3 linked regions of the Drosophila melanogaster genome follow. The protein of the gene in region 1 interacts with the protein of each later gene in a pairwise test. Each region holds a gene or a part of one and is shown on either strand. Other genes may lie near its edges. The genes, in order: Hk, Obp56d and CG4563.

Region 1 (10,933 bases):
TTTTGTAAGGGGTAACATCATCAAAATTTGCAAAAAATTGCCAAAAAATAGAATTTTCATTTGTAAATACAGTTCGATTGGAAATTAAATTACCAGCTCAACGAGACATCACATTCCATATTTGAACTATTATTACTAGTTTTATGGCATAAAACTAATTGTGTTTGGACAGAAAATCGGAGAAAGTTATTTGGCTGCAATGGGATGTGTACAAAGGGCGTTTTCCATTAATTTTGGGAAAATAGGCAACACAGCTAAAATAATGACGGACTGATTTATAGAAATGTAAATTTTCAAGCTAGAAAGAGCTTTAATCCTTTCATTCGAACGGCCAGCACTGCCTGCGAAATGTGTCTCTGTGGGCAGAAGCTTTCTCTCTTGTTCTCTCTGGCGGCGGCATGCGCTCTCTGCAGATGTCCTGCGACGCTCCCCGTTAGCTTTTTAATCATGTGGGGCCGCTCTGGTCGGCTTGCACCTCCGGCGCAGCTTCCTGCTCCGCGTCCCTCGTCGCCATCGCACGCACTCGCATTTGGCGAAGGGAGCCGACGCAACAGCAGCAGCAGCAGCAGAAGCCGCAGCAGAGGAGCCGCAGCAGTCGCAAACGCGCAAGCAGCAGCCACAGTCGCAGTCGCAGGCAGTCGCAAGCAGAGCAGCAAGCAGTTGCAAGGGCGCCGCCTCCGTCGAGTTGAGTCCTAGTTCGTTTTTCACGCTTTTCCTGCATTTCCTCCATTTGGCTCTGATTGCGTTTCTATTTTCATGTTGATTTCATATTTTTTTCTTTGGAGTTTTTGGCCAGCGTTTTACGCATTAGTAACGTGTCCCGATTTTGACAGTGGCATGGACAGGAAATAAACCAAAACGCAGCGGCAGCAGCAGCAGTGAGTGGCACAACGGTAATTCGCAGTGTGCCAAATTGCGAATTTCTCACTCTCTTCCTCCGCTATCCCTCTCCCTCTCCCACCCACTCTCTGCTCCTGTTTGTTGCCCATTTTTTTTGCCAGTGTGTGTGTGTGTGTTCCTAGTTTTTTTTGTTGTTGTGCTGGAAAAGAGAAATAAAGTGCGTAAAAATTCACAATAGCATTAATTAACAGTTGTTTTCCCTTTTGGGTCGCAACAGGACCTGCCCGCTCCCCCCGCGCTCAATCACATTAACGGGTGTGTTGTTGGTGGTCTTGCCCTAGGCCGAGTTGTTGTTGTTTTTTTCCGAGTGTGTGCGTGTGTGTGTGTCTGTGTGAGTAGATGGCAAGCAATGAAATTTCATAATGGTTGTTGTACCAGCTAACACAAAAGCACTCTTACCAAATTAATTAAATTAGAAAACAAAACAAGGCGTAATAAAAATTATAAAATACAGCAATTTTCGGTCAAAAAAGGATGCTCAAATGGCAAAGTTGAAGCGATGACAAAAGGAGAACTTCCGCTGATAAAGTGACCCAAATATGGAGAGTAAAACCACACATGTTCCTGAAAATTCATTAAATCATAGATGGAAAAAGATGGCGAAAACCATAAACAAACTAAACAAATTGATTTCTATTTACACCAAAATTACCTGTTTCGTTTACAGATAAACAATCAAATATAAATTAACACAAATTCATAACAACATAATTAAGATAAACCGGTTAATTAGCTCGAACATAAACCCATGAAATCTACACCAAAAAGTACAAATTAAAAAGCCTCCAATTATCTGGTTGTAAAAATTAAGCGAAACGTCAAATGCCTAACTGAAAACAGTGTCATTTGATGGTATTCTTTTGTGTTGGAAAGGTTAGGACCGCCCCGCCCCTTGGGCCATACTACTTCGCCCACTTTTTAAAACCGCCTTTTGTCCACATTTCCAACGCCCAGCTCCACCCACCCACCGTTTTCTTATCGCCAAAGAGTCACGTTTTTGACCCATTTTCACATGCTGGTGCCTAAGCCCATACAGATGGCATAAAAGCTGCTCCGAGTCCTCTTCTACCCCCATTAACCCATGCAGCCAGCCACTTAACCCTCGAGTGGCTCTCGCTGATGTAATGCCATTCGATTTGATTTGCCATGGTTAACCAGATTTGCTTGCCACAGCCATTCGGCATTTTGCGGTTGCTAATGCTTAGCCTTACACTAGACAAAAAGGAGCAAAACATATATATTTTCTTATATTTTAAAGTGCCTTTTTTATTATACCTATCAGAAAGTTTCTTTGGCTTTCCATGTTGATCTGCTAGTAGCAGTATTTATTTTCTTTTCTATGACAATTCAACAGTGGAACATGTTAATTACGTACTAGCTGCACTTTATTATTCACAGTGTATGCGACTATGTGTGTGTGTAAGTGTGTGTGTATGCGTAGGTTAGGTTGATTACTTGCCACATGGTTGACTACAAGTCAGTAAGTTGATGGCCCCAATTTGCGTACGACTCTAATTTGTTTGTTGTGTGTTTTTTCCGGCTCCCATTAGTAAACCATTGGGCCAGCGGGTGACCATCGCCGTGTTGCTCGGTAAATTCCCCAAGCGCCGAAATGAACCACTGACACGCCCTAGGCGCTTCTCTATTTGGCTAACTGGATATCTGGCCATCTGGCAGTACCATTGGAACCATCCATCCCCAGTCGGACCCAGCCTCACTCAATTCAACGCACGTGCCTGGTCATAGACTGGAAAAACAGTTCAACTGGATAACTGGACAACTGAAAAACCACTGAGGTCCTTCCACAGGCTCACGCACACAAGCGCAAGCAACAGGACTTGTTTATCGGTGAGTATTCCACCGTGGAATCGGATTGCGATAGGTTTCGGTTATGGAGGATCACGGAGATTTGAACTTTTCAAAAGAAATGATTAAAGAGATAGCAGACTTTAACAAAGGTCTAAAGATATTGCATACTTTTAAACACCTTTATTGGTGCCAAATCCGTTTGATCCTCCCCCATTGAGCCCTGCATATGGGACCCTGACTAACCTATACCACGTCCTCTTTCCAGACAGCCCCTCGGTTGGGCCCCACTCCAAACTGGCCCATCAATTTTGGTTCTCCTACCCGCCACCGGGCGCTGGCGGCGGTTCCTCAAGTGAGTCTTACGGGTTGCGCATGCGGGGCAGCACCTTGGACCCTCCACTATTACTATTCGTAATACTTCCCATCCCTAACCACCACCCCACCCCCAAAAAAAACGAAAAAAAAAGAAAAAACAAACAAAACCGATTCCCACTTCGTTTGTGTTGTTCGTCCCTCGATGTCTATGTAATCTAATTGATCGATATAACCGAAAGCGATGATAATACATTCATATATAGCCCGTGTATAGTCTATAGGGAGTGCGATTATCGTTTGTTCTTTGGTTCCACTTCTTTTTTGTATGACTAGGCCATCCTGTGAGTCCTCTCTCTGTATATCTATCTGTATTTAACATATATATGTATCTTGTCTGTACGTATGTCTGTATGTGGTACGTTTGTTAAGTGACTCCTCTTAGATGTGAAAGCCACATAAAGTATATCTCTCTTTACATATATAGTCGATGATAACCAATTCCTTCTTTTCTTAATGTTACATGGGTATAACCATATATTTTGCCACATACCAAATATATTATAATATAGCGTAACTGTAGTCAAGGCCCAGAAAACCAGAGCCAAAGAGAGAGGTAATCCGGCTTAAAGGATAAATTCGAGGATAATAATCCCTTATTTTCCTTGGTTTTCTATCATTCGATAGTCCATACAAATAGATTTTATTTTGGGGCTAGCCAAAATTCTTTTATTGTATTAAAATACTAAAAAACAATGTCTATTGGCTCTCCCCAATCAATAAACATAAGATTTAGTTCCGATTTAAGTACGAAATAATTGAAGATTTATTTGTTGTACTTCTTTTCTTTGCTCTTCTTTGATTGTATTGTCTTCTATGTTCAACACACAATAAAAAAAGGAATCATAAAACTAAGGAATCACGTCTAACAAATACGAATTACAAGCGAAAGAATACAAAAATAAGAAAATACAGAATTAAATCGAAAACGGAGATCTCTCCCTTTCAGTCTCTCCTCTCTTTCTATCTGCCTATATGTCTATCTCTTTCTTAAAAGACACACTCAGACACACCGCACTCACCTAACGGTACTAATACCATTCCAATCGTTTCGGTACGCGTCGCGATCGCGTGTAATCAATTGCCAAATTCGACAAGAATCGTTACTAAAATATAATCAAAATCAAATTCGACACAACAAGAACAACATCATCACCACAAGTACAACATCAGAAAAAAAACACATTGAGGTAAGGAAGAATTTCTTTCTCTTTCTGTCTCACACAACCCGCCTCTCTCCGTCTCTCTCTCTCTCTCTCTCTGTCTTTGTCTCTCTCTGGTCTCGTAGTGTTGGCTTAATGGAAATAGAAACCATTAGGCCACAAACAGATTCCCATTAGAAACCCCATAGACCAAATGAAACCAACTACAATAAGCCCCCCCCCCCCCCCCCCTCTACATAGCGAGTTCCGTTATTCCGCTGTTCCGTTCCGTTGGTTGTTCCGTTACGTTACGTGTAGTTCGTTTCGTTCCACGTTCCTTGTTTCCCCTTAGTTGTCTTACATTTTTCGGTTAGTTTTTGTTTTCGCATTTTTCGTAGAGCTTTGATGATGATAATAATAATGACACTACGATGATGATACTACAAAATGAAGACCCTGATGCGTCTGTGTGTATGTGTGCAAGTAGTTTGTGAATGGAACGGGGTCAAAGGTGGGCCAGGTGTAAGCTTGTGGCGCTCAACTAGCGGCACTCGGGCCTCTTTGAAGTCATCAAAAGGGTAGAACAAGATAATTGCATACGCTTGAAGCTTGCGAAAAGGTTAAACAGATAACTAGAATATAAAATGAGTAAACTGTGTAACGGCAATTTGAGTATTTGCCAAGGCTTGGGGCTAAAAAGTATATACATATGCTATGGAAAGTAAACCGGTTTTCTTCGTTTTGCATAGAAAATGATGTTTTATACACACACAGGTAAATAAGTGAAAAATAATAAGTGAAAAATGGCTTTAAATATAACTTAAAAAATTCGCTTGCAATTACAACTTTCCTATGATCAATTTTAATCCACCACAACACAGTGACTCAAATAAGTGTTTACTCACCGCTTGTGACGCACTTGGTGAACTCTTGTGCTCTTGTGGTGGGTTGAATCGGTTGAAGCCAAGGCCAAAGCTCAAAGCTCAAATATTCATGGGAAGCATAAATGTACGAGGCAAGCAAAACGACGGCAGCAAACCAAATGTTGAGTGTTAGTCGAGTAGAGGCCGCTCCTCAAAGTGGGAATGCTCCGAAAAAATAATAAAAAGAGGAAAAAAACACCAATTTAAATAAGTCAAATAATTAACGAACGTGAGAAATACAAAAATGCAAACAAATGGCAATCGTGTTGATGTGTAGATATTGAAATTGATATTGACTGTGAATTAACTTTAATGCAATCAGTGTGCCCACCGCAATTCCAAATTACGTGCGTGACTTGGTCACACTACCGCAAAATGCATATCTGTCTGGTTGCCGCGAACACTCGCAGCTGGGCATTAATCCTCCCGAGAAGATGACACTAATTGGGCCGCGGTCAACTTTGGTTGTGTTTAGTGTTTTGGGTTCAGTGTTTAGCTTTATGTTTTTAGTGGGCCGCATGTTGGTGCTCAGTGTCAGTTTCGCCTGGCTCTTCGGCCGCAACTGACGACTGTTGATTCCGTGTGGGCTTTTCACCTGTCGAAAGGTGCGAATTAGTATGACACCGCCTCGGCTGAGTCGCTATTTGATGGCAGTGCGTGGTGGGCGCGATGGGGAGCAGCGTAAGTAGGGGGGCGTGGCCTTGAACTGTGTATATATATATATATATATTTATATATAAAGACATATATTTGTAGTTGAGAGCGTGTGTGTGCGTGTGTATAAGAGTGCGAGCTGTAGATGTGCATGCTGCAAGTTGTTTTATCCGACCATTTAGAACTTTTCAACTTGCATGCTTAGTGCTTGAGTAGAGGATGACAGTAAAATAATTGCAAATTGAAATACAATAATGAGAATCGATTGAAACAGTTTGAACATGGCCTCTTTTTCTCCCCCGTCTCTCTCTCTCTCTCTCTCTCTTTCTATTCTTATGGATTTCTTGGATTATTTCTATGTTTTTCATATATTTCTAACATTTATGTTTCTACATTTTCTCTGTCATGTTTTAATCTATCCTTTGATTTAAATATATTTTGATATGTTCTTTAACGTTGATCCATTTAACTTGAATTTTTTTTGATTGATTTACTATTATTTCCCTTATTTGTTAATCATTTTTTAATACTTTCCTTAAATTATATAGACAGCAAGAACTCGCAGACCGACGAAGAGAAGCAACGCGATCGACAGCGAAACGAGCGCGAGGCGAAAAAGGAAGAGCAGGACGCTATCAACTACAAGGTGAGTGTGTGTGTGTGTGCCTCTCTCTGTCTGCCTTCTCCCTATCTCTTTCTGTCGCGGCCAATTCGGTGTGCGTGTGTGTGTCTACCGCGCGTGCAAACAAATTAACAATTTGATAAAGCCAATGTAATCCCTCAAAAGAAAAAAAGAAAAAGAAAAGAGTACCAAGAAAAATTATAAAAAAAAGTATAGATAAGAAAAGAAAGCAAATCCAAATGAAGCAGTAATTGAAAATGCAACAGCAATAATAACGATGGCCATGCGATAATCCATTAAACCTGATAGTAAGAATGCACTTTGCGACAATTGCATGCAAACAGCGCGACAAGGAGCAACGCGAGGCCCGTCTGCTGGACTTTGAGATACGCCGCCAGCAGAAGCGGGACGAGCAGCAGCAGCAGCGCCAGCAGCAGCAACAACTGCAGCAGCACCGCGAGCATCTGCAGCAGCAGCATCGCGATCAGCAGCAGTCCAGCGAGAAAAGTCCGCCCACCTCGTCCACCGCAGCCGCCGCCCACCAGACACATTCGCATTCGCAGCAGCAACAGCAGCGGCAGCATTTGCATCTGCAGCAACAGCATCTGCAGCAGCAGCAACAGCAGCAGCAACAACAGTCAACGGGCAGCGGCAGCAGCAACACACCAGTGACCCCAAAGTTGCAGACACCTCCCCCCGATCGATCGCTGCCCCCCGCCTTCCGGAGTCGCTCCATCGAGCGGGAGATTCTTTACGAGCGGAAGCGATTCTCGCAGCCGGAAACCGGCGAGATCAAGGTTTTTCATCACTAACCACCACTAAAACCCCCACTGCCTTAACCCCTTTTTAGAACCCACGCCCACCCATCCATTTCATTTCGCACCTGCCAGCTGCAACTTTTCCATGACCGGAAGGTGGACAAAAGAGCCCGTTAAAGCCTTCAAACTTTTGCTATTGGCATGAATTTCATTTATTTTATAGATTTAGTTCAATTGAATTAATTTATAAATGTTTTTGATAAGCTATCTTCATTTATGATTGGTTGGGTGATCACTTTACTCTTTAAATAAACGTTATAGTTTTCTTTGTAGCTTAAGAAACTCAAGGAACCCCTCTATTTTAGATCCTTTGATACACCGCTTTTGTCCACCTTTTCAATGATGAGCCGCTTAGCTAAATATACTTTCTTTGGGAACTCACTTTGAACAGGAGCTCGATAGTACGACATCATCATCCTCCACACAGCAGACCTTCCCTGGCAGCGCAGTCGGGGCGGGCAGAGGAGCGTCAGCAGCGGTACCTGGAAGCGGGACAGCGATAGCGGTTGCAGTAGCAGGAGCGGGAGCGGGACAATCGGCGACATTGGCGGGGCCGCCGGCAACGGCCGCAGCTGCCACAGCTGCGATCATACCGATTCTGCCGCTCGGCGTTGCAACGCTGCGCGATGATTCCACCGAATCTGAGCAGTCCGTGACCTGTGCGCACAACCAGCTCGATGCCTACCACCGCATCATGTGAGTACAATCTAACAACTAGCCGCAAAATATATGTATTATATATATATATAAGTTTGATATAAAAGCCAACTAAATTGTACACTACACCAACAAGTTTTATTATGTTGGCAAAACCGACAAAGCAAAAATCCCTTGCCCTGCTGTGCAAAAGTCAAAAATTGTCCGAAGCAGCCATTGTCCAACTTTGAAGTCCTTTGTTCTAGCAAAATTCTTGTGTGGCCTGATTTCGCACTCCAAAATCAATGAATGCCAGACGAGCATCACATACAAAGTGTAATGTAATAAAAGAGCGTATTAAATTTGATCATCATCGTGTAAAATGTCCCCATTCCTATGAAATTTAACTGAATATGGTTCATTGACGGGATTGTCAGCGTGGAAAGGCAGTAAATAAGGCGATAAGGGTATCACTCTATTAAACCGATTTTATGGTTCGATTTTATTGTGTGTGCTGAAGAATGAAAAATCATGACTCTAGCTACGAACTCGATGAAAAGTGATTTACTTATTAAAAAATAACACTTTTGCTTAATATATATTTGCATACATTTGCTTAGGTATTTAATGAGTAACAATTTTAGCAGAGGATATAAAAAGTATCTACAAATTGCCATATTAAAGAAGTAACTTAAATGAACACGAACTGTTTTCCCAGAAAATGTAAATGTATCCGCTGTCGCATCTTATTAAGTGTTCTCGGCAAAAGTGTGCAATTATACAGAATCGGATTATTTGCATTTTCCTTACATTGTTTGAACTGCGTTTCGCGGCATTAAGTCAGGCCACCTTGTTTTTTTTTATTTTCTTCTTGGACTTCTTCCAGAAGCTTTTACCTCGTCCAAGTGAAATGAGTGATTTTCGTGGCACAATTGTTTTTATGACTCATACAATTAAATAACAACAAAAGGGCATTCAATGAAACTTTTTGCGAAAAGTTCGAAACAAATCTGAGTAGTGCACTTAACCCTGAAAAGTATGCTACGAAAGTTGCATGTAGAATCCGTGTAAGTGGCATGTAAAAAGCGAGGCATATCAAGTATACGCCATGTAATACAGCAGGCAGTTGCATTTGCATGCCACAGATGGCGCCCACGTGCAGTGGGCTAGGTGCATCGCAAAATAAATGCATTTCAAATGAAATCTGTGTTTGCAATTCCAGCAAGAAATTCAGAATGCTATACAATATTTCTATTTAGTTATATGTTGAAAACAAATGAAAGGTTAAAGCGTAAAAGAAATCATTCCAGGTTAATTAAGAAATCAATCCAGGTTAATTTTTAATGGAAATTCTACAGTAACTTGATTTAAACGCCGCGGTTTCTATTCTAACGTAATTACTATGCGAGCACTTTGCGCGCCTTAAGCTTGATGGGAAAATTAGCAAATAACATGCTTCTGCGTTGGCCTCAAATTAAAATGGTTAATTTTTCATTAAGGCCAAGTCATTAATCGACCTGCCAGGTAAACCCCATCAGCGCACAGGTGCATTTCCGACCGTTTGTAGCCGGGAGAACCGGGGTTTTATTATATTTGATTTGGCACAGCCTGCAGTCTGCAGTCCGCTGTTCCGGCAATCGGATCGAAATTGAGGCATCTAACCGTAACATCATCCAACATTTATGTGCAAAAACGAAATCCGAAACGCAATCAATTGCCGTGAGTAAGTGCCTTTTAATTGCTACGGGCTTCTGTGAATTAATTTTGCTTGCCGAGCGCAAAGTGTAATTTAATATTCCCATGCAGTTAGATTCATATTTTATATGGCCCACATAACGCGGCGCGGCTGTGTATTTAAACACTTATATCCATTGAAAGCTGACCGGGGGTGTTGGTTATGGCCTTTGGCAAGTGACTTCTTTGCACTTATACATTATTCATTATTACTCCGGCGCCATTTGTGCAATATTTGGATTCGTTCCAGCCCGGTTCCCAAGCCAATGCATTAGCCGCAGTCCTTGGCCATTTATTTCGATCAAAAAAGGGTGGCTTATAATGGGGCTTTTAGAGTGTTTCGATGCACTTTTATTAAAAGCTAGCTTCCGTCACAAAGGGTTTTCTAAACAGTGTTTAGATATTTTTTATTTAAGAAGCTAAATCCGGAATGAAGAATCCTTTATTTTTTTAATCAACTTTATTTTTGCCAAAACTTTGTTATATTTATTTTAGCTTTGTTATAAAAAAAGAATTGTTTTGTTATACGTGGGCCTTTTCAAAAAATATACTATTTCTGCTTATGATTCAATCCACGAATTTGGTTGCACTCAAAGTGAATTTATATTGCCTACTTAAGCGGGCAGCCAGTTATTCTGGAGTCTGTGGTCCTGAGGAACCTTAAAGATGAGTACTTATAGGGTATTTATGTGTCAGCGAAAAACATATATATGCACGTGTGTGCAGCATATAAACGAGAGTACATACATATATGCATTTTACCAGAAGGAAAGGCCATGTAGGCCCCAGAGCATAAGCCGAAAAGGCAATCTCGTAAAAAACACGCATTTCCATCCATCTGTAGTACTACTACAAACACACACACACACACGAATGCAGGACACAGAAACACACTCCACTCACACCAACGCACATATACACTCGCAGATTCCAACACACACACACACACACACGCATAAGCCCACTGGCTTTTCCACACTCCCACTTGGAGAATAAAGAAACATGCCGGGCCAATTTGCAACCGCAAAAGAAGAATACTTTAGGGAAGGATACTAAAGAGATAGGGAAAACCAGAAGAAACAGAGCAAAGGACCAAGTGATAGAGAGTAAGGATATGGCGCAGCAAGAGAGGGGACGGCGGGAATGGCGGCTTTTTTGAAACGGGGACACGTGCGTTTTGGGCCAAAATTCACCACAAAAACAGAGAGCAGCCGAAAAAAAAGCTCCGATGTTCGCAAAATTGCGCGCGCTGGCTCTCCCTCTCCCTGTCCCTCTCTTCTCTGATGGCATCTCTGCCCCTAAAGTGTTTAAAAATTAAAATAC
Region 2 (9,324 bases), on another chromosome or scaffold:
GCCCTGTTTCGCGTAAGCTGATTATAATCCATATTCATGTGTAAGTCAGGTGATTCGGCGTTTTCAATTTGCATAATTAAATGTATGACTGCATTGAACACTTAAACTGCTTTATTGTTTTAATTTTAGGCACTAATACCCTTAACAACACACTTTTCATAGTTGTAGACAAAGTCACAGGTGGCGGCTGACTTTGTGGTTCCGCAGCTGGTAAGCAAACTCTTTAGCTTATCCACCGGCAGACTGCTGAAACGGATCTGGGCCAACTTAACGATCTTATCAGTATTGGGCTTTCCATCGTCACCCAGGAGACCCAGTTTCTTGTAGACGCAGCTGTGATAGCACTTCACCGACTCAGAGGGATTCGCCACCTCCTTGTCGGTGGTCAGCAAATTAGCATCACTGGCAGCAATATTCAGCTCCTTGATGCAGGCCTGTTGAATTTGCTTGTAGGCTGCCAATTCCGCAGCTGACTGGCCCTGTTTTAAAAATGCGAATAAAATGATGAATTATCCCTAAAGCAACGTTTCATCCAACTTACCGCTACTAGTTCGCTTAGAGCGAAAATTAGGAATACAACCAACAAGTAGATAAGTTTCATCTTTCCAAAGCTACATTCACTGTCGAACTGAATTTCGTTCACAATAATATGGCTTAAATACGCGTAACATGCTTAAGTTCCAGACTTAATTTTGCCAATCAAGTTATTATTTTATTAAAATTCAATTAATAAAATTTATCAATTTTAAACTGGGTTATTTTTAATTCAGATCCAATTTTCCCATTTTAACCAGTAGGCGTTAAATCATCGCTGCCTAGATGATCATTCGGGTCAGTGAGCTTTGTTTGGACTTTGGATTTATTTACTTATTGTGCGTGAAATAGATTTTCTTCTTTTAAGATTGATTCTTATGTTTTAAGTGAAATGGCTTTTGTGTTTCTTAGTTTCTACAAACAATTTTTATTCGACATACAGCTGCATATAATAACATAATATGGGTCTTCTTATTAGTGTATTAATGATTGGGAAATGGTTACTTACTTATTTTAAGTATGATAAAATTGCTTACATTCGTTTTCTTCTTTTTACATTCAAATCAACACATTAGTTTACTTAACAATCTGCCCAAAACTATGCTATGGAACCGTTAAAAACATTTAGAAAAAAGTTAAGCCCAAAATTGAGCCCTATAATATGGTATTCAGCTTTTCAAACACATCAGAAAATATTAAAGCTTTTAATTAATAAAAAAAAAACTCTAGCAACTTAAAATTGTTTAAACTAATTACGCTGAAATGCAAAACTCTTGTTTTTATTTTATTTTATAGCTTTAAAACTCTCAAACGCTGAATAAGTTACAATTTAAGTACTTATTCATACATACATTTAAATAATAAGTGGATTTTCTATATAGCAAACACCGATAAGAAATAAGACCTACAAGTACACAGCTATTTACTCCGACTTAGCGGTGGTCATTGCTTCTCCGGAATGCTGGATGCCGTCGATAAAGTCGCTGCCCTCCGGACCGAATCCCTCGTTCTCCGCCTCGGTCCGCTCAAGTATCTCACGGATACGCTGCTCCGCCTCCAGAGTTTTCAGGTGATTGTAGCACAGGTGCAGCTTGTAGGCTGCCTCGCATCGTGTTTTGCCCTGAAGATCACTACACTCCTTGATCTCCGCCTTCTCATGCTGTATGATCGTTTGCACCTGATTCTTAAAGGCCTCCTCCAGCAGGACATTGTACCTATCCAAATCCAGGGTCTCATACAGACAGCTCACAAAGCACTGCAGCGGCTCATTATGCTTCAGATCGAGATATGGCATCTGCGAGTTGCCATTGAAGTCCAGATCACCCAGGTTATTTACATCGCCAATGGATTGAACTGGCGTAGGGGCTATATCGTTGTCATTATTGTAGTCGCTGTTCATCAGGCTCATGTGAAAGAGTTTCAGTTGCGACATTGAGATCTCGGTCCTACGCATACAAGCCCTCAGCATCTCCTGGCTGAGTTTGTTTTCTGTTCCATTTGGCGGATCTGGAACCAGGGTTCGTGTCATCGACATGTTCAGCGAGACGGAAAGCGATCGGGTCTGTGGATGAAATGTATTTTTGTAAAAATTATATATTGTCTCTATGTATTCCAATATGTCTTTTTAGTTGTAAGAAAATTTGATTCACTTCCCTTTTTTAATATTTACCTTGTAAATATAAAACATATAATTCCAAGTACTACATAAGTCGAATTTACAAAAGATATATAAAATATGAAAAACATTACCCATGCTTTAGAAACGAATTCACTAAGAGTGAGGCAAAGCAATGCCATCAAACTGGCTCGAAAATACATCTAAGAAATATTTTTAAAATTTGTTTGACGATTTACTATAAAAACTTTTCAACTATAGAGCCTGTTGCGATTTAACAAAAGCCTTTTATAGAGTCGTCTTTATGGAAATCGGTTTAAATTGCTATTTAATTGTCGCTCAAATCGATTGCCAAATCATGTTCATGCCTCACTTGCTAGGCCCATCAGGTAATCATATTCAGATACATCGCATATAATGTGTCATGCATCAGTGGATTGCCAATAGCATTTTTGGGTGAGAACTCAAATTAGCATTCGCCAAAAACACTCATCTGACTTATTTAATGGTCTCTATAATTGCACAAATACAAAAAGGTTTGCAAAAAGTTTCAGGTTCAATTTGGTAGATGAATCTACAAAACATTTAAGTACTGCTCTATAAAGGTGTTTTAAAAACGGTACAACCATTGTTGGCAATTTCAATTAAAATAATCATTGTAATTTTTGACTAATTTGTTTTTGCAAGCAATGTGGGTTTTTCTTGTTGTAGTTGTGGAAACATAAAAAAATACAACCAGAAGTTTTAATTAGATTATGGAAGTGGTTACAAGCTGTATGCGGAAAAATGATAGTACATAGAACACGTTTTCCTTCTAAGATAAAATTATTATATTCCTTACTAGTCTAGTTGTATTGCAAACAAATTCAATCACATTAGTTCAAGCCACAGCAACTGGTTTACTTGAACTCCTTCTTTCTTTGGACCACTCTAATTGACGGACTTAATAACAGACTTCTGCTGATAATCGGAAACACAACCGCAGCATCCCCAGCCACATCACATATTGGTCTTTAAGATCAAAGAAACTTCACATGGACGGACAAAAAGCGAGAGACATCGGAGCATGAAACAAGCAAGTGGCAGCCACCCTGCAGCGAAGTTTTTATAAAATTAAATTACATTAATGTGAGAACCGCAGGGAAAGCCTCCCCCTTCAAAGCATCAGCACTCAACCCCAACTCCAGCGATATCCTTGGTCCTTGGCCATTGAAAGCCAACTAACGGGAGCAAGACAAGTCAAACAAGACGGCCAAGACAAAGGCTGATGTCGAGCATCAATGTGCTACCATCTCACGCGTGTTGGCTCCTTTGACAAGCCGCCATGGCTGTCTACTTAAATGCATTAGCTCGGGGGGGTGGAATCCTTCGATTGGGCTGCCTTTTTAATAGACATTAGTAAACGCATCAGTGATTGTTTGTTCGGTTGGCCGGGAAGGCCATCGGCCATCGGCCATCAGCTCTTGTGCAGACAACTGCAACTGAAACGGATGCTAAATGGAAGTGACATTACAGCCAGACCGACCCCAGGAAGTGACAAAATGAATTATGGACCCTGGCTGCGATCCAAACTCCCCAAAAGCCAAAGTCAAAGCCAAAGTCGGAACAATTGTTCCCTCCGATGCCACCTGATCCATGTTGAACCAGTAAATGCAATTGCGACACGTGCTCAATGAATGTTTAATGATTTGTTAATTGGATTTGGGCTTTTAAAAACACGGCTCCCCGTGTCCAATTCATTTGCTCGAACCCCAACGCATCCTGTATCGCCGGGATCCCAGGTCTTTGTGCCAATAAGTTTGCCGTCGCTCATCAATATTTATGCCAAACATGAGCGGCCAAATGCCTCTGGGATCGCCGCTCTGTACCAGGGACTTAAGCCCCTGACGACGGTCTGACAGTGGTTGGTCCTTAATGACGGCCCACTGTTATGCAAATGGGTACGCGGCCAAAACGCAAATGGGTCATACAGTGGAGCATCCATTGACAAGTCGAATATGCATAAGTAATTATGTATAAGAATTTCACCTTAATTTCCTTTGAGACACAATAAAAGGCGTTCTCTGTTAGGGGTTTACGTAAGTTATTTTCCTGGAAGGTTCCTTTAAGTTTTTGTTGGACAGCTAAAAAGTTATTTGATCAAACGTTTAACATTAATATTTAAAATATTAACAAATGCCAAGTGAGATTCTAGGAGAGTTATGTAAAAGCTTTAAGCATGATCTTCTATTTGGAACATAGTCTCGCAAAGGTTTCTTGTCAAGTTTTTTTTTAAAAACGAAATATATTCTTGAGTTTATTATTCAAAACATTTACAGATCTAAAAATTTTGTTTACGAATTGATATACTGAATTAAAACAATATAAGTAACAAGTCACAGACAGATTATCACACAGGAGAATATCGGAGATTTGGCGCTTAGATGTGGGCGCGATTCTTGTAGTAGCACTCGAATAGCTGATAGGCAGTATCGCACTTATCCGCTCCCTTGGTGGCATCACACTTGGCCTGAACGGCCTTCACGGCATCCTCGCCGGCCAGGGGTCCCAACTTGGCCAGAACGACATCGGGCTGGACCTCACCATTGATCAGGAATCCGATTTTCTCCAAGAAACAATTGGCGAAGCATTTCACCTTGGGGTCACTGTCATCGAAATTGCCGTTTCGCAAGGCGATCGCCTGATCCTTGGTGATTCCCTCCTGCTGGGCACAAAGGGCGCCATTGGCATGGGCCACAGCCTTCTGCTCATCGGATAGTTGCAGCTCCTATAAGATATATTCAAAAGATACACTTAGCAATACTACCCCTTTAAATCAGAAACTATTTGTAACTCACAGCAGCCGAAATGGCCAAAATGACGGAGAGGACAATCAGGAACTTCATTTTCGGTAGAGATGTTGTTGGAAACCCTTTGGTATCGAAACTGTTGAATTTATTCTGTTAGCATCTGCCTTTTATACGATTTTGCATGCAGCTTCGTCAGAGTTTTGTTTTGATTATCGCTTTTTGTTTTCGCTCTACTCCGCTGATCACACTGTATAAGCAATTATTACACATACACACGGCAATACACCGGTTAGTTTACTTAAACCCTCTCCGATCTTGTTGATAACCCGAAACTGACTCACTTTTTTTTACCATTTCGGTTTAAAGTTCAACAGATACTCGAATCAGTAAATGAAGCAAGTTCACTGCGGCTTTCCATTGTACCTATAATTGGCCCTAATGCCCCAGACTCGGGCTTATTATTAGGCTAAAATCGCTTCAAAGCCATAATGTAAGTGCTAATTGTAGTTTCAGATTTTCCACCGATTAAAAGTGTGTTGTACTTCCCAAGGGTCAGAGTGCCCAGCGAAGCGTCAACGTCAACTAATTTGATTTAACAATACACGTAACTCCAAAACCTTAAACTTGAAATACAATCTAACGTTGATTTTTATGGAGGTGTTAAAACAAAGTGCATGCAAAGCATGATAGGGGAGTTTTAGAGAATAGAATATAAAAGCAACATTTTATATTACTTACAAAAATTTTTAGTAACACTTAAAATTTAATATAAGTTAACGGAGGCCATGAGATGCTCGAATTATTTGTAAGCCTTATATAAGGTCTGCGCTTAAATATATTTCTTCATTCCCTATATATAACCCTTATAACCAAAATATATCTATTAATACCACCATTATAAAATTTGTCTCATATTAATAAGGCTACCTCATTACCGCAACAAATTATTTCTTGGTGATTCTAATGCCATTATTAATAATTAAATAATTTTGTTAATAGACCCTTTTTTTGAAATAAGTCTGATATTACATGATAAAATTAATGACGAACGTCTGATTCGTCAAACCTGTTTTAACTTTGTCAGTTGTTCTCCTACCTATTTTTATTGTTTTGTTGGTTTTTTCCAAAGTCTGAAGTCAAGTGCGGTTATCAAAGTCCAAATATTCAGATGACTCTCAAAATCTCAAGTCCGTGCGATCAAACTAAACTGGTTTGCAGATTAATTTGTGGCACAGATGTGTCTAGCTGATTAACAATTAAAGTGACATTCGGGTAATTTGCTGATGTATGTATATATATGTATATATTTATGCATGAGTTTTAAGCGGAACCGTTTAAGTCGGCTAACTGCCCGAATTATTTAATTATGGTAATAGAGGCAGCTACCAAAGTTGATGCCTACGTGCCAGAACTTTGCCTCATATATTTTATCAATATTTACTGCTGACAGCATCGATAATTCATGACCTACTCAAACTATATACCGGTGCCTGGGTCACCCCCTGGACTTTCGGAGACGAAGTTACCGGAGCGAACTGGTAAATAGTTACGCACGCCAGGGAAAACAAATGTCAGAACGATTATTGCGGCCCATCGTCGCCTGCCAGGGCCATAACAAAAGTAAAATATTTAAATAGTAATAAATTCATAATGTCATCGTGTATAATGCCCCACAGCTCCTATCGGAGACCTTCCAACGATTTATAGACAATAATAACTGCAAACACGAAGCGGTGGCTGACTCCTCAAGTAGTTTGATTTCAGTTCAAGGAGGTGGAGGTAGCCTATTCAACTTTTCCAGCTTTTCCACCTGGTGAAGAAGTTCGCTGTCCCCAAAAGTTTCCTGTAGTGGAAAGGAATAAAACTGTTTTATCGTAGACATGATAGAACGGGAATGAATGTCGCATGCGACTCATATATAATATAAATATTAAATACTATATGGCATGCCATAAAAATATAAACAGCACATAAAACGACAATGAAAAACAATGGCACACGTTATTAAATATGTGTGCCCGAAGAACTGGTAACGGCTAATGAAATGTCATCGGACCCGAGGGCTCAACTCAACTCAACTCAGCTCAGCTCAGTTGAACTGAAATGCAAATGTCACGCGAAAAACTATTTGACGACAACATTACGTTGACATAATAATAATGCCGTCAACCGTTGAAGAACCCCAACTTAAAGGCAAAAGCTCGGCTAGAAGTCATATGCAAATTTTACGAGCTTCTCATGACCGGTCATAAAAGTCAATTTATTAGCTATGGGAAATTAAAAAGGAGAACAATTAAATAAGTGCAAAGCGTGAATTTGATTACGGTCAGCGCTTACTAAAGTTGCAATTTTCATAAATCATTTGGACTAGAACCAGAAGTTTTATTTAGACCAACAGATTAGAAAAGGAAAGCAAGGTTTATAATAAAATATATTCAGCTCTCACTAAAAGTTAATAATACCAATTCAGTTAATAACTGGAAATCGGTAATTGTGGCAGTTGTTTCTCTACATATCTGATGAAAATCAATAATTTAAAGATAATAAATGCAAGCGGTATCCTATAATGGCAGCTGTGTAATTAATTATAACCAATGGCGAGATAGGACCTCCAGCTCCCAATTCCGCAAGCCTAGCAAAAAGCTACAGAAATTCAATTAGGCTTATCCCATGCAATAACAACACCGGAAGCAACAACAAGAGAGCTACGGAACAGCTGCAACACCTGCGCAATTAATTAGTGTTTGCCGCATTAATTTCAGAAAATAAAAAGAGATGGCCGAAAGGAAACCAGAGCCACCACCAGATGGGATAAGATAGGCACCCTTTAGGGTCAAAACCCAGCGTTGGCTAATAAATACAGAAAGGCCCCATCCAGCGTCCTTGGCTCTTCCACAACTGGAGCAGAACATTCTCAATGGACCACAAAGGCAGTGGAACACTAAGCCACTTAAATCAAATAAAGCAAATTCAGTTAATTTAAATTATAATGAGGCCCAGTGCCAGCGCGGAACATTGAATACTATTTGCTGATGAAAAGATGAAACGTAAGCTAAAAACTTGTGTAAATATAGTGGCCTATTTGCTAAAGATAGGTAGGTTTTGAACTATTTACGTTGGGATTAAATTTTATAATGTCTCATTTTTTAATTGCTGTAGACTTAGTGCTACAAATAATATGTATAAAAAGTATGCTACAATCCAATGGGCAATCTTTTTTCCCCAAGGCACGCATTAAAACTGGGAAAGATATCATAATTTCCACTTCTATAATTTGTTTACGATTATGGCCGCATGCAAAATAAAACGCATTTAAGTAATTAAGTCATAAAAAAAAGTAGCGTGCTGGGTTTGCTCCATAAAAACCGACCCGTCTGCAATAAAATGCCAAAAACAAAACAATTAGGCAATTAAATGTCTTGGTATTACCAAAAATTTTCGTTTTGGTAACAAAACGCGTCATAAAATAAGCCAAAATGTACTTGGCCACCGGGAATACGAGTGGAGGCCCTAAAAATGGATCACAAGTGGGGGAAATTATGTGAAAATGTCTGCACTGGCCGTTTTTTGTTCTTTTCTTGGAATCCGCTCTTGTCTCCCTTTGACATCCCAATAAAAACGCAAAAGAAAAAGGCGATTGCCAATGCGTATGCGAGTGTTTTAGTAATATTTATTGAATTCCAGTTAACGAACCCAGAACCGATGGAGCGTTGGATAAGGGACAATGTGCGAAACACAAAAGGAGGGGAAAAGTATAGGGACGGGCCAACAGTCAAGCAAAGCTTACAAAGCTTTTCAACGCACATTTTCCGAAACCGTCGCCGCATCCCGAAACTGCTGAAAAATTCCGAGCTCTGCAAAATGAATTCTTTTGTGACAAGTTCAATTCGGTTGAGGGACAAGTCAGTGGCTGGGATGCGGAGTTCATATGGAACTCCGACCGAACTGTAGCTGCTGCTGCTCGAGACCTCGAAACCTCCAATCCTCCTATCCTCCTATCCCCCTGTCATATAACGCATCAAAGACGGGCCAGGTGAAGGAATGCAGTGCTCGTTCTGTAAGAAATTGAAAAACCCAAACGGGGGGGAAGCCGTCGAAGCACCCAGCCCGATGATGGGAAAAATGGAAAATCTCAAGCTGCGAAAATCAGCAGCAAACGCGCTGCTTTCGTTCGCATTATTGTCATGATGCTGTGGATATTTTGCTGTGCGCTCGGAATTTTTAATAAACGTTTAAGTTTATAACATTCTCAGCTTGGTATCGCACCTCTGTGTAATCTTTATGCCACATATCGACGAGTCGGCTTATCCTGCAGCTGGCGAAAAGAAAGACTTCTTAACTTGGCGAACTTCAGCCAAAAGGTAATCCAGGGGCATAAAGAGTCTC
Region 3 (10,598 bases), on another chromosome or scaffold:
AATTATTTGCCCTGCGGAATTGGATGTTTTGTTGTTTAAAGCACAGATCTCCATCTCCCACAGACGTGTAGCCAAGACAAGCAAACAAACAGTGGAGCAGTGGAGCACCTAGGGTGTCGAGCGTAGCGAGGCTCCACTGTAGTTCGTTCGGTCGAGTGGCTTGTGTATTTTTCATAATTATGTGTGCACATTACTCATGAGCAGCCAAATGCAAACGGGGACAGTGGCACACACAGGGTGTTAAGTCCGTGCACGGGGGGCCCACTGTACAGTAGCTAGGCAAACATTTGCCGTATATTATGGCTAATTTAATTGACTTCCCCAGCTTCCTTTTGCAAGTGTTGTGTTGTGTTTTGATTGGGCGCCTGTAGTTGCTGTGTGGCGAGCGGCAGGGGGATTTCCCGCCTTGTGTTTGAATGTGGGTGTGGTTCCCTTTGATGTTGGCCAGAGTTGTTGAAGAATGTCCTTATTGACAATACAAGGGCCCCGAAATACCAGACGCCACAATATCAAGCGCAATCAGTTGGGCTAAAGAGGTGAGCTGAGGTAACATTGTGAACTTTATGAACTCGATGGAATCGTTGGAACAGAACCTTGAAAAATTACCAAGAAACATGACGACGGGCCGATATTGGTCCTTTGAACTTCCCCATTCTCTATGATGAATATTCACTCAAATACATATGCAATTGCCAGGCATTCTCGCAAATGCCACACAAATACCCCGCACATCCAAATCCATTCTCCAGTGGCCAAGACGGCATGTTTGGCTCTGTTTGGTTCCATTTCTGGTGCTAATGTTCTGGGAAATGCGTAGGGACAGGAAATTCCTTCTGGTGGGCCCAGCATGCTCTATATTCACTTAATTATAGATGCGACACGCACAATTTCTGGTCCTTCTCAGTGGGTATTGTAATGCGAGTGGGTCCCTCCGACAAGCCGGGGCATATTTATGCGCCTGGGGCTGACCCTCTGGGATTCGTGGGCTCCTTGTGTCCATTTCATAATGGGACACGAAGCTACGATAAAGTAGCAATTACAGAAGTAGTAACACACTGAAATGTCCAACAAAAGGCCTCTAAAAGGACTTTCGGATTCTTCCAAATTAGACTACAAGCGAATAGCTGGTTTCTAGGGAAACAATTCAATGAAGCTGTAATAATTGACATATTCCCGAGAAAAAACTAAAACAAATTTAAGATTTGTTCCACAACAAGCTGAAGCTAGTGCTTTCATCCACACAATATATGGTGTGCATGCGGATATTATTTTTCAATTTTAATGGTTATGAAAACTTTAAACTTTAATTGATCTATTGATATCGTGATATTGTTTTATTATCTCAGATACTTCAAAAACCTGCTTGTACAATAAAATGCTTCAAGTAAAGTTCATCAATGGAATCGAGTGTACACTTTTCAAAGGACGTTCGTTGCACTCACCATTCACATTCACATCACACGCCCAATCTGTTCACTTTGCTGGCGGTTCACGTAGTTAACCAAACAGGATCGAAGGACTGAAAAGCGCACTTTTCCACAAACTCCGCTCTGCAGTTGGGCCGGAAAAGAAACGAAACCGCGGCAGCTTTGCTTAACTAAATTTCGTTGTCAAAACTTCAATTGTTGGGGGCCAGGAGGAAAAGTTCGGAACAAAACATTTTGACAGGCCAGGAAGGAAAGGAGGGACAGGCCCGAGTGAAGGGTTGGGCCCAAAAAACTTTCGACGTGTGAGGGCCAACTGCGAATGGGCCGAGTTTCAGTTTCGAGCGCACTTAACTACCACGGCTAACTTCGCAGCACTTAACAACACTTGAGCAAACTTTTTGCTAACCGCACTGACTAGTTTGGCAATATGTTAGGCCCTTATCTGTGGCTAATTCGTGGCCTGAGTCCTTACCCCTTGGGCTCCCCAACTCAAACGGATCCCGTGAGTGATTTTCCGACCAACTCGTGAGCCGAGCTGCAACCGCCTCGTCGAAGGAATCACCGCAAACTGTCTGAGCGTGTCCAAGTCCCCAGACAGCAGACTGTTGGTCCGTTCCTTCCCAGCATCGGGTGTGCTGCATCCGAGTCGGAGCCCGAATCCTCGGCCAAGAAACATCGCCGGGCTTTATGAATGGGGCGATGTTTCGGAATGCTGCGGAATCGGAACCCGTTTTGCGCATGCCCACGGTGCGTATGCAAGATTTATGACAGTTGCGCTTCGGCGGCATCCGTCGAGCACGTGGCGGACCACCAACAAGTGTGATAAGCGTGATAAGGCCCCGAACGCAAATCCAAATGTTTTCCACCGAGCCACCGGGGGATTGGTGTCTAAGGTCAGGGACACTGACCGCACACCGCTGATACCAGACAGTTGGAAGCAAGTGCGAAAAAAGTACGGAAACTATAGTTTATGAAAGTGACCATCGTATCTAGGATCTAAGTATATATCTCTATATTGCAGTGAATATTAATAATTAACTTCGAGCTTAAAATGACTTATTATCTAGAGGTGGTATTCCAATTGTGGGAACCATTAAAATCAAATGCAAAATGATGTCTCACGGTGGGCAGTGTTGGAGCTGATAAGCCGCCTGCTTACAAACTAGATATCAGTGGGCCCAATTAGTTTCTCCACTAATTTCTTATCGAAAATTTGGAACCCCATCAAGGAAGCCTATATTCATTCAGAAAACAATAGGGATCTCCAGTGAAATAGTATTCTTATCAGGCATCGACAGTCCGCCGTATTATGCAACTATTTGCACTTGAGACACAGTTACCTCGCCATCCTGGCAACAAAGTTTTAGTCTTATCACACAGGTGAAACCCCCAAGCGCAGGTGCACTTTCATTCAGAAAGAATTAGTGACGCGGAGGGCGATAAGCCGTGGAATAATAGTATTTCCTTATCAGCCATCGACTGCTAATTCAATTATGTAACAGTTCGCACTCGAGTGATGTTAATTAATTAAGCCGGCACTTGAAGCACAAACTGGCTGTCTGTCCGTCGGATTAGTCATCCACAAGTACGGCCATAGCATCTCGTCAACCCGACATACTTGCGGTGGAATCACCTGGGAGGTGGGGGCATCTCATTATAACGCACATTATTAACTGACGCCTCGTGTCACGCCCGAGTGGGCAAGGAGACCACGTTGGGGTAACCCGCCAGGACTGGCGCCCAAAACCGCCAATCAAATCGGCATCGCAATCGCAATCGCACTCGCACTCGCACTCGCTGACTCGGAACGGCGGCTCGTCCTGCCCGAAAGTCCGTAGGACTTAAAGCCTTAAGATGCAGTTTCCTGCGGTGGCACCCCCCATTTGCATGCCAATCGTCGGGAGCATCTTGTCCGGGTCCTTGCTTATGCATTTCGCCGGGTCCTGCTCATTTTGCCAAACAAATTCAGAAACACTTTAAACTATTTTGCTCGCTTTTGGCCGCTCTGTCTGTAATTTCATGTTAATATATGCATGCAACCGAACTCCCGGAGCTTTTCGAGGTACAGCCCCCCTTTTGGGGCGCCGACACACAATGCAAATAGCGCAACAGGGCGTGGCCCTCCCCGAAATTATTACAGCCATAATAAAATGCCGGCGTTGAGTTCATTTAAAAGGAACTATTTCGGAGAGTCCTTTGAAAGCGGCGCAGAACAACATTTAAGTTCAGGTTAAGCTGGCGAAATAGTTTCTGAAAACTTAAAGTAAACGTTCCAGGCGGGTCAAATAGATACTTCAAAGGATATTTAATATCACGAGCTTAAAACTATTTACAATATAAAGCGCAATTCTCTGTTAATCAATCACAAAATACATTTTTTATGCCACGTCCAAGTAATACCAGGTGCAATCAAATTAGAACGAAAAATATTGTACTTGCAAGGTAATCCCTTATAGTTTCCAAGATATCGTTCGTCAGAATCTATCTGTTAAATATTTTTCTAAGAATATAGTACAGCTTTTTATCTGACAAAAGTTCGGGAATTAATACTTTTGACCCCGGCGAAGTTTGCTTACTCACCTGCCTCTGAAAGGTGTTCCCATGGGACAAGTGGTACGGAAGTCACTGCCTCCTGGAGCGGAAATTAAAAAAGTGACTCCGGCTAGATTAGACGAGCCCACCTCGGGAATCAGCTGATGTTACCGTAAATCTTCGACTTATTTTGGCCAAACTTTGGACTCGGCAAGTGTAGCGATTAATTGCTTAATTGATATGATAAGCGCCCCTTCAGGGCGATATAAAAAGACAACGTAACGGCTCTGGGCACTCAGTAGAGATTTAGAATTGGACTAGCAAAATGCCGACAAAGGCGGTTTTCCCCACCTTCTTCAACAAGGAGACCCAGGTCTGGAGTGGCCCGCCACGGCCCACGGTCTACGACCACAACACCTCGGTCGGTCAGATCGTGTTCAACTCCCTGAGGTGCTGGCCCACCAATGTGATTCAGGTAAACGATTGCGTGACTGGTAGCCGGCGGAGACGGGAATCTGATGAGCTCGATTATATAAAAGTAGATCACCGACGACGACGGCACCGTGCTGACCAACGCCGACATGCTGGCCTACGCCACCCGGATTGCCCTATTCTTTAAGAGCGAGGGCTTGACCCAGGAGGACCGCGTCGGGATCATCGCCAACTCGAGCACCTTCGTGATCCCCGTGGCCACCGCCTGCTTCTTCCAGGCCACGCCCTTCCACGCCGTCAACTACTCCAGGGAGCCGGCCATCGTACAGGGTCTCTACTCGGTGACCAAACCCAAGATCATGTTCATCGACGGTCCGGACTACGACCGCATCAAGGAGATCACCAAGGAGTGGTCTCCCAAGCTGATCACGCTCACGGGTAAAGTGGAGGGCGTTACTAGCATCGAGGACCTCGTAAAGCCCCATCCCGCCGAGAAGATCTATGTGTGAGTAGTTTGAGATCTTCAATCAATTTAAATTTCAATAAATTCATTATTTTAAATATCTTTCAGACCTGCTTCCCTGGCCACTGGTGGCGACCAGATCGCCGTGGTCCTGTGCTCCTCCGGCACTGCTGGCTTGCCCAAGGCAGTTGCCCTCTCCCACCGCCACATTGCATCCACCAACTCGTGAGTTCTCAAGTTCAAAGCTCCCAGACTAGCCAGTCTAACCCATCTCTTCCCACAGGCTGTGCATCAGTACCGATGTGCTGTACACCAGTGCCACCATCGACTGGATGACCGGATTCTCGATTACCGTAATGAATCTCACATGTGGCTTCACTCGCATCATATCCAGGAGGACATTTAGCGCCGAGACGGCTCTCTACCTGGTCAGCAAGTACAAGGTCACCTGCCTGGCAATGGCGCCATGGCAGGCCTACGAGCTCTTCACCAGTCCACTGGCCACCAGCGAGCAACTGGAGTCCCTGAAGATAGCCTTCGTGATTGGAGGATGGATATCCCTGGCACTACTGCGGCGGGCCCAGGAGCTGCTGCCCAAGACCTACGTGATGTTCTCGTACGGAACCACGGAGACGGGAGTGGTGACCATCAACATCGACCACAGTCTGGAGTGCTCTGTAGGCAGACTGGCGCCCGGCATGAGGATCAAGATCCAAGGCGAGGATGGCCAGCAGCTGGGCGTGAATCAGACGGGCGAGGTGCTCATCGACATCGGCCTGAAGTGGGAGGGCTACCTCTCGAACCCGGAGGACACGGCCACCACCCTCCAGGATGGATGGATCAACCTGGGCGACCTGGGCTACTTCGACGAGGACAACAACCTGTACTTGGTGGACCGCAAGAAGGACCTGCTGAAGTACAAGTCCAAGCACTACTGGCCCAACGAGATTGAGCAGATCATCGCCGAGCTCCCGGAGGTGGAGCACGTGTGCGTGGTAGGCGTGCGGGATGCGAGATACGGTGACGCCGCCGGAGCCCTGATCATCAAGAAGGAGGGCGCCGAGATCGCCGACCAGAAGGTCATCGACCACGTGGCCCAGCGGGTGGTGGTGGACTACAAGCAGCTGAATGCCGGAGTCATCTTCGTGGACAAGTTCCCCAAGAACGCCAACGGCAAGGTCATGAGGAGTTTGGCACGCGAGGTGTTCGAGAAAACCAAGCCCATTACCTTCTAACACCTACAATCACTATGTACTTTTAAAATTGAGCTACCTGGTTTAATGTGAGGACAAAATTAAGTTCTTGTTGCTTGTTGTTAATTCGTGATAATTAAAACTTACATTTGATAGATTACGTTTCGAGCTGTTGGCTTAAAGTTGTCTGTTCTTTCTAATTAAGTGGGTATGCTATCAGGAATATCATATCCGCATTGCTTTAATATCTATATTTTGAATTTAATTAAATTGCTAGGTACGCAACGAGAGATAAGATGTAGCTTCAATAAAGAAACTGCTTGTCATGCACTTCGCCACTTATCTACCCACAGATAGAGATAATAGTGGCAAAGTATTAATTATGCAAAACGAGAATCTCAGTTAAAGCACAGTAAATTAAAACAGCCACCAACCACCGCAAAGTGCATTTAATTCAGTTCCCTGTTTTGAATAGCTTTTAACCACGTTCGAATGGTCTCTCGACGTGGCTTTCCGGACTCCAAAGTCCGAATAATTGCGAATTGCGCGCGGAAGAGGCAAATCCATGGTTTGATCCTTGTTGGTATATGAACACCTTTTGTGACGGCGAAATGCGGCAATTTACGGTTATGGAAATGGAAATGAAAATGCCTGGCCGTCCGATTGCAATAATTTACCTTCCGGTCGATGGTGGCATTTTGTGTTTCCGGTTGCGTTCAAAGCTATCGCAACCGCTGTTTCCGCCGCATGCGGCACAATCTGCTCGATTTCGCTGCTCTTTCACAGGTTATGGTTATGCAAAAACACAGATGACCAGACTGGCCAACCCAGCAAGTTCAATGTAGCAATAGTAGTCCTGTTTGCTTTTCGCTGCTGGCTGGCTGGAGTGTCCTAGTGGCTCCTAAAGACGCATCCCTTCTGCTGCATCCCACTGCACCCGCATTGCATTCTTGACCCGCCGTCGTCGCCATCGTAAATTATTCAAATCTAAGTCGTAAATAAGCGCGCATAAACATAAGCACAATCGCTGTTCGTCGGCCTGCTCTTGCCACAGACCACGCCCATAGGACATCTCAGCAGCTCCGAGATTCCAGGACTCGTCCCTCACAGCGTCCGTCTCCGGATGCCACAAGCCCTCGAGAATCCAGTGGCAAATTTCTGAAATCGCCTGCTCTCCATTTGAGTTTGCAGCTGCAAGTTTGTGGGAATGCTCGGCAATAATTTGAAAATGTGTTGGCTCTTCTTTAGGGTCTCGAAAATACCATGAGCTGCCTTAAAGATTTTTCTGTGATAGTAATAGGTTATTAGGCTGATGAAATGCACAATCATGAATGGTATTATAAGATGGACTTAGCGACGAAAAATCAATGTCATTGAAAGCATTTCTAACTTTTATGTTCATATCAGAATAGCTTGGTTATTCACTTTAGTTAATATGGATCTAAAATCAGTACTGGCACCTGTAAGCGTGATTGACGTTTGACTAACGCATGAGGTGATTTCGGATTTGGTTCGCCGGATTGCTGACAGGCATGCCGTCCATACCGAATCACCCATCGTAGGCGAAGGACTTAACAGATCCTGCCATTGATGCCGGCTGAAAGGACTCAAGGGTCTTGACTCCGCGGCCGGAGGCAAGTGTTTGATTGATGGACGCAGCTGAAGGGCTCCGATTGCCCGCTCGGCTGAGTGATGTGGCAGGCAGCGTCTTTATCTGCGGAGGACACCCGATCATGGCCTGCTTTATTCGCCACCCCCTCCCTGATTACGGCAGCACCACGGGGAACCTTCAGCTACACCACAGCGCAGACTGCTCCTCCAAACAACCATGTTTACATGCAATTACCGTCTCAGTGTTTCGCTGTCAACTCGAATGCTATTTGCCATTGTTTATTACAGCAAGCTCTCGACTCCATTTGGTGGGAGGACCTGCGTGGGTGGAGTCCAGCGGGCGATCCAGGTGATTCAGAGAATTCGGGCTGCGAGTGGACCGGTCTCGTGTCGGTGGCATTCTTAATTGCATTGCTGCCAGCAATGCATCATCGCAGAGCACTTTCAGCTGCAGGAGCTGGTAAAAATGTTCATCGCTAATGTCGCAAATGTTTGCCGTTGGCTTGTGACTCCGCTCTTGGCCAAAACACGAAACATAGCCAAATTGCCATGGAATCGGAGGTGGTCGTAAAGAGAACGTTAATGCAATTGCTGCCTTTGTGCTTCTGAATTTACACTCGTTATTTCAAGCTCCCCAGAAGGGAATTTAGGGTCTGTAAAAATAATATTTATAATAGAAATTTCTGTGATAAGGACTGACAGATACGACATCCAATGTACCTAATCCATTGTTACAAGCCCACCCCTAAACCTTCGGTTATTGTTCTTAATTTATTGCAGATAACAGATTGGATAAGCCAATTAAAATGCGGAGATTTAAATTCACTTGGAAGCTTGAAAGGACTACTCGGACACTTTGCAATGAAGACCTACAGCCAAAGCAATTTAAGTTGTTAGGCCTCAATGAATTATTCATTGCCAGTCGTTGTCCTGGCCTACGCGTCGATGATTAAATCAAATCACTTCAACCCGTTGCCAATGCCCCAAAAATAGCCAAAATCACGCCCAAGGTCGCCGCACACCACCCACCGCCCATCATCCCCACTCGCCGGTCATCCTTATCAGTAGCATTGTGCAAACGATGCCCACGGGCCAAATTACCAAAGCATTCCGCAGCATGGCAACTGTCGGCGATTTCAAGAGGTTAATTGTGGCGCATCCCGCCTAATGCCACGAAATTTCTGTTTGGTGGGTGTCCAAGTCTGGGGAAAGGCACTCCCGCTTCCTATTCGAAGCTCGTTGGCTTGGGAGGAAACAAACAAACTTCCAGCTGACTGGAGCCAAAGTTCGAAAAGGTCCGAGAAGGTCAAAGGTTGCGCCATCGAAAAACAGAGGAATAAATAGCAGTCACTGCGGACAGTTATTGGGATCCAACGAGTTTAAGCTCTCTGATTAAATCTCAATTTTTACGGAGTGCTGTACATCAGTTCTTGAATTCATCACACTCGTAACGGATGCATGGGCCAGAAATTGAATGGACATTTTCATTCAGCAGCATTCTGGGCATTTCGCTTTGATTTGGATTTCCATTTTGGTGCATTGGACATTTGCTTTTAATAAAAATTCATCAAAAGCCAACAAAACGCCAGATTCACAGGCAGAGGCAGTGGCAGTGGCAAGGCAGAGGCAGAGTCAGAATCATGTGCGCCAGAAGTCATAAAAAGGGGTGAAACAATGGCGAGCGTGCAACCGGAAACGGAAGTCGACGCAGACAAACACCAGATACGAAAGGGCGCCATTGCGAAGGGGAAAGGGAGGTGGTGGGAGATGAGAATGGGAAAAAGAAAAGGATAAGAGACGGGCCAAGGCTCAAATGGAACTCGAGTCAGGAGCAGAGACAGTGACAGCAGAAATAAGCTGCCCTTTTCTTTCTTCTCGGTTTTCCCAGATGATTTTTAAATAAGCAAGCATGCGGAGTAGGTACCTCCGTATTTTTATGGCATTCCAATTTGAGCGAAACAGAGAGGTCCACAGCTCCAGAAACAACAACAAGGGTGCGTCCTTTCGGCCAAGGACTAATAGGCACAGCCTTGACAGCACGTCCTGCATGCGGACCGAAATGGCAGCAGCCATAAACGAAAATGTGTAAAAAGCTTAAGCGGCACTAAAAGAATTCCCCACCCCGGCGACCTCCCAAAATGGCGAATAGGTGCATAATGGCCGCCTGAGACTGTGGGCAGATGTCAACATGTGCTTTTATTATCGCAGAGTGCACCGCCACTACCCGCCACCCTACCATCCTGCTCCCAGCGATGGCAGCGGCCATGTGGCAGGACTCGAAATGCAACTTAATTAAGAGCCGAAAAAGCGGCAAAGGAAACTGCAGCTGGCATCTGCGGCGGTTAATGCCGGACGGCCATAAATCTGCCGAAATGCACTGCAAGCACCAGAGATCTGGGAACTGGGAGCTGGGAGCTTGGAACTCTGAGCTGGGAGCTCCAAACTGCGACCAGAGAGCACGGGGCTATATAAATATACGACCACGACTGGCAAGCGATAGCCAAGCGAATTACGACTTTTATGACCTCCAGCGAAGCGAGTGAATTAAATGCAAGGTAATTACATATTATAAATGTGTTTAGTTTGGCGATAGTTTAGTTTGGCCAAAGAAAGTCAGCTATCACACTGAACTCACTAGGCACATAAAGTCGCATTGTCAGAACGGACAACAATGTTCTACCAATTTCACTTAGTTGTGTATGGCGAAAAAGTTATTGGTCTCTAAAATGGCGAACTATATGTTACCATTTATGGCTGCATTCTCTTTAAACCAAATAAATATCCAAGTATGTGGATAATCTACACATATTTCATTTTTCGAAGTGGTTCGTAATCGTTATGATAAATGATAAACCATACATGATTTTATATGCTTACTAATTTTGTTGCTTTAAGAGCAGAACTTAGAGGCAATCACACACGGCCTTAACGAACTCTGAG

What was found.
Region 2: the proteins of Hk (region 1) and Obp56d interact in a two-hybrid assay, tested with the Drosophila melanogaster proteins (one large-scale study listed by BioGRID).
Region 3: the proteins of Hk (region 1) and CG4563 interact in a two-hybrid assay, tested with the Drosophila melanogaster proteins (one large-scale study listed by BioGRID).

The regions. Positions count from the first base shown.
Region 1 is NC_004354.4:10,251,006-10,261,938, reverse strand, and holds the start of Hk (hyperkinetic), read left to right. Parts: upstream 1-5,270; 5' UTR 5,271-5,763; coding exon 5,764-5,827; intron 5,828-6,348; coding exon 6,349-6,446; intron 6,447-6,766; coding exon 6,767-7,219; intron 7,220-7,631; coding exon 7,632-7,936; intron 7,937-10,933.
Region 2 is NT_033778.4:19,698,717-19,708,040, forward strand, and holds Obp56d (Odorant-binding protein 56d), read right to left. Parts: upstream 5,200-9,324; 5' UTR 5,035-5,199; coding exon 4,987-5,034; intron 4,917-4,986; coding exon 4,569-4,916; 3' UTR 4,208-4,568; downstream 1-4,207. Other genes in the region: Obp56b (Odorant-binding protein 56b), read right to left, coding at 126-479, 542-601; Obp56c (Odorant-binding protein 56c), read right to left, coding at 1,457-2,095, 2,254-2,352.
Region 3 is NT_033778.4:24,446,692-24,457,289, reverse strand, and holds CG4563 (uncharacterized protein), read left to right. Parts: upstream 1-4,249; 5' UTR 4,250-4,284; coding exon 4,285-4,434; intron 4,435-4,501; coding exon 4,502-4,896; intron 4,897-4,962; coding exon 4,963-5,079; intron 5,080-5,137; coding exon 5,138-6,089; 3' UTR 6,090-6,206; downstream 6,207-10,598. Other genes in the region: CG3483 (uncharacterized protein), read right to left, coding at 10,562-10,598.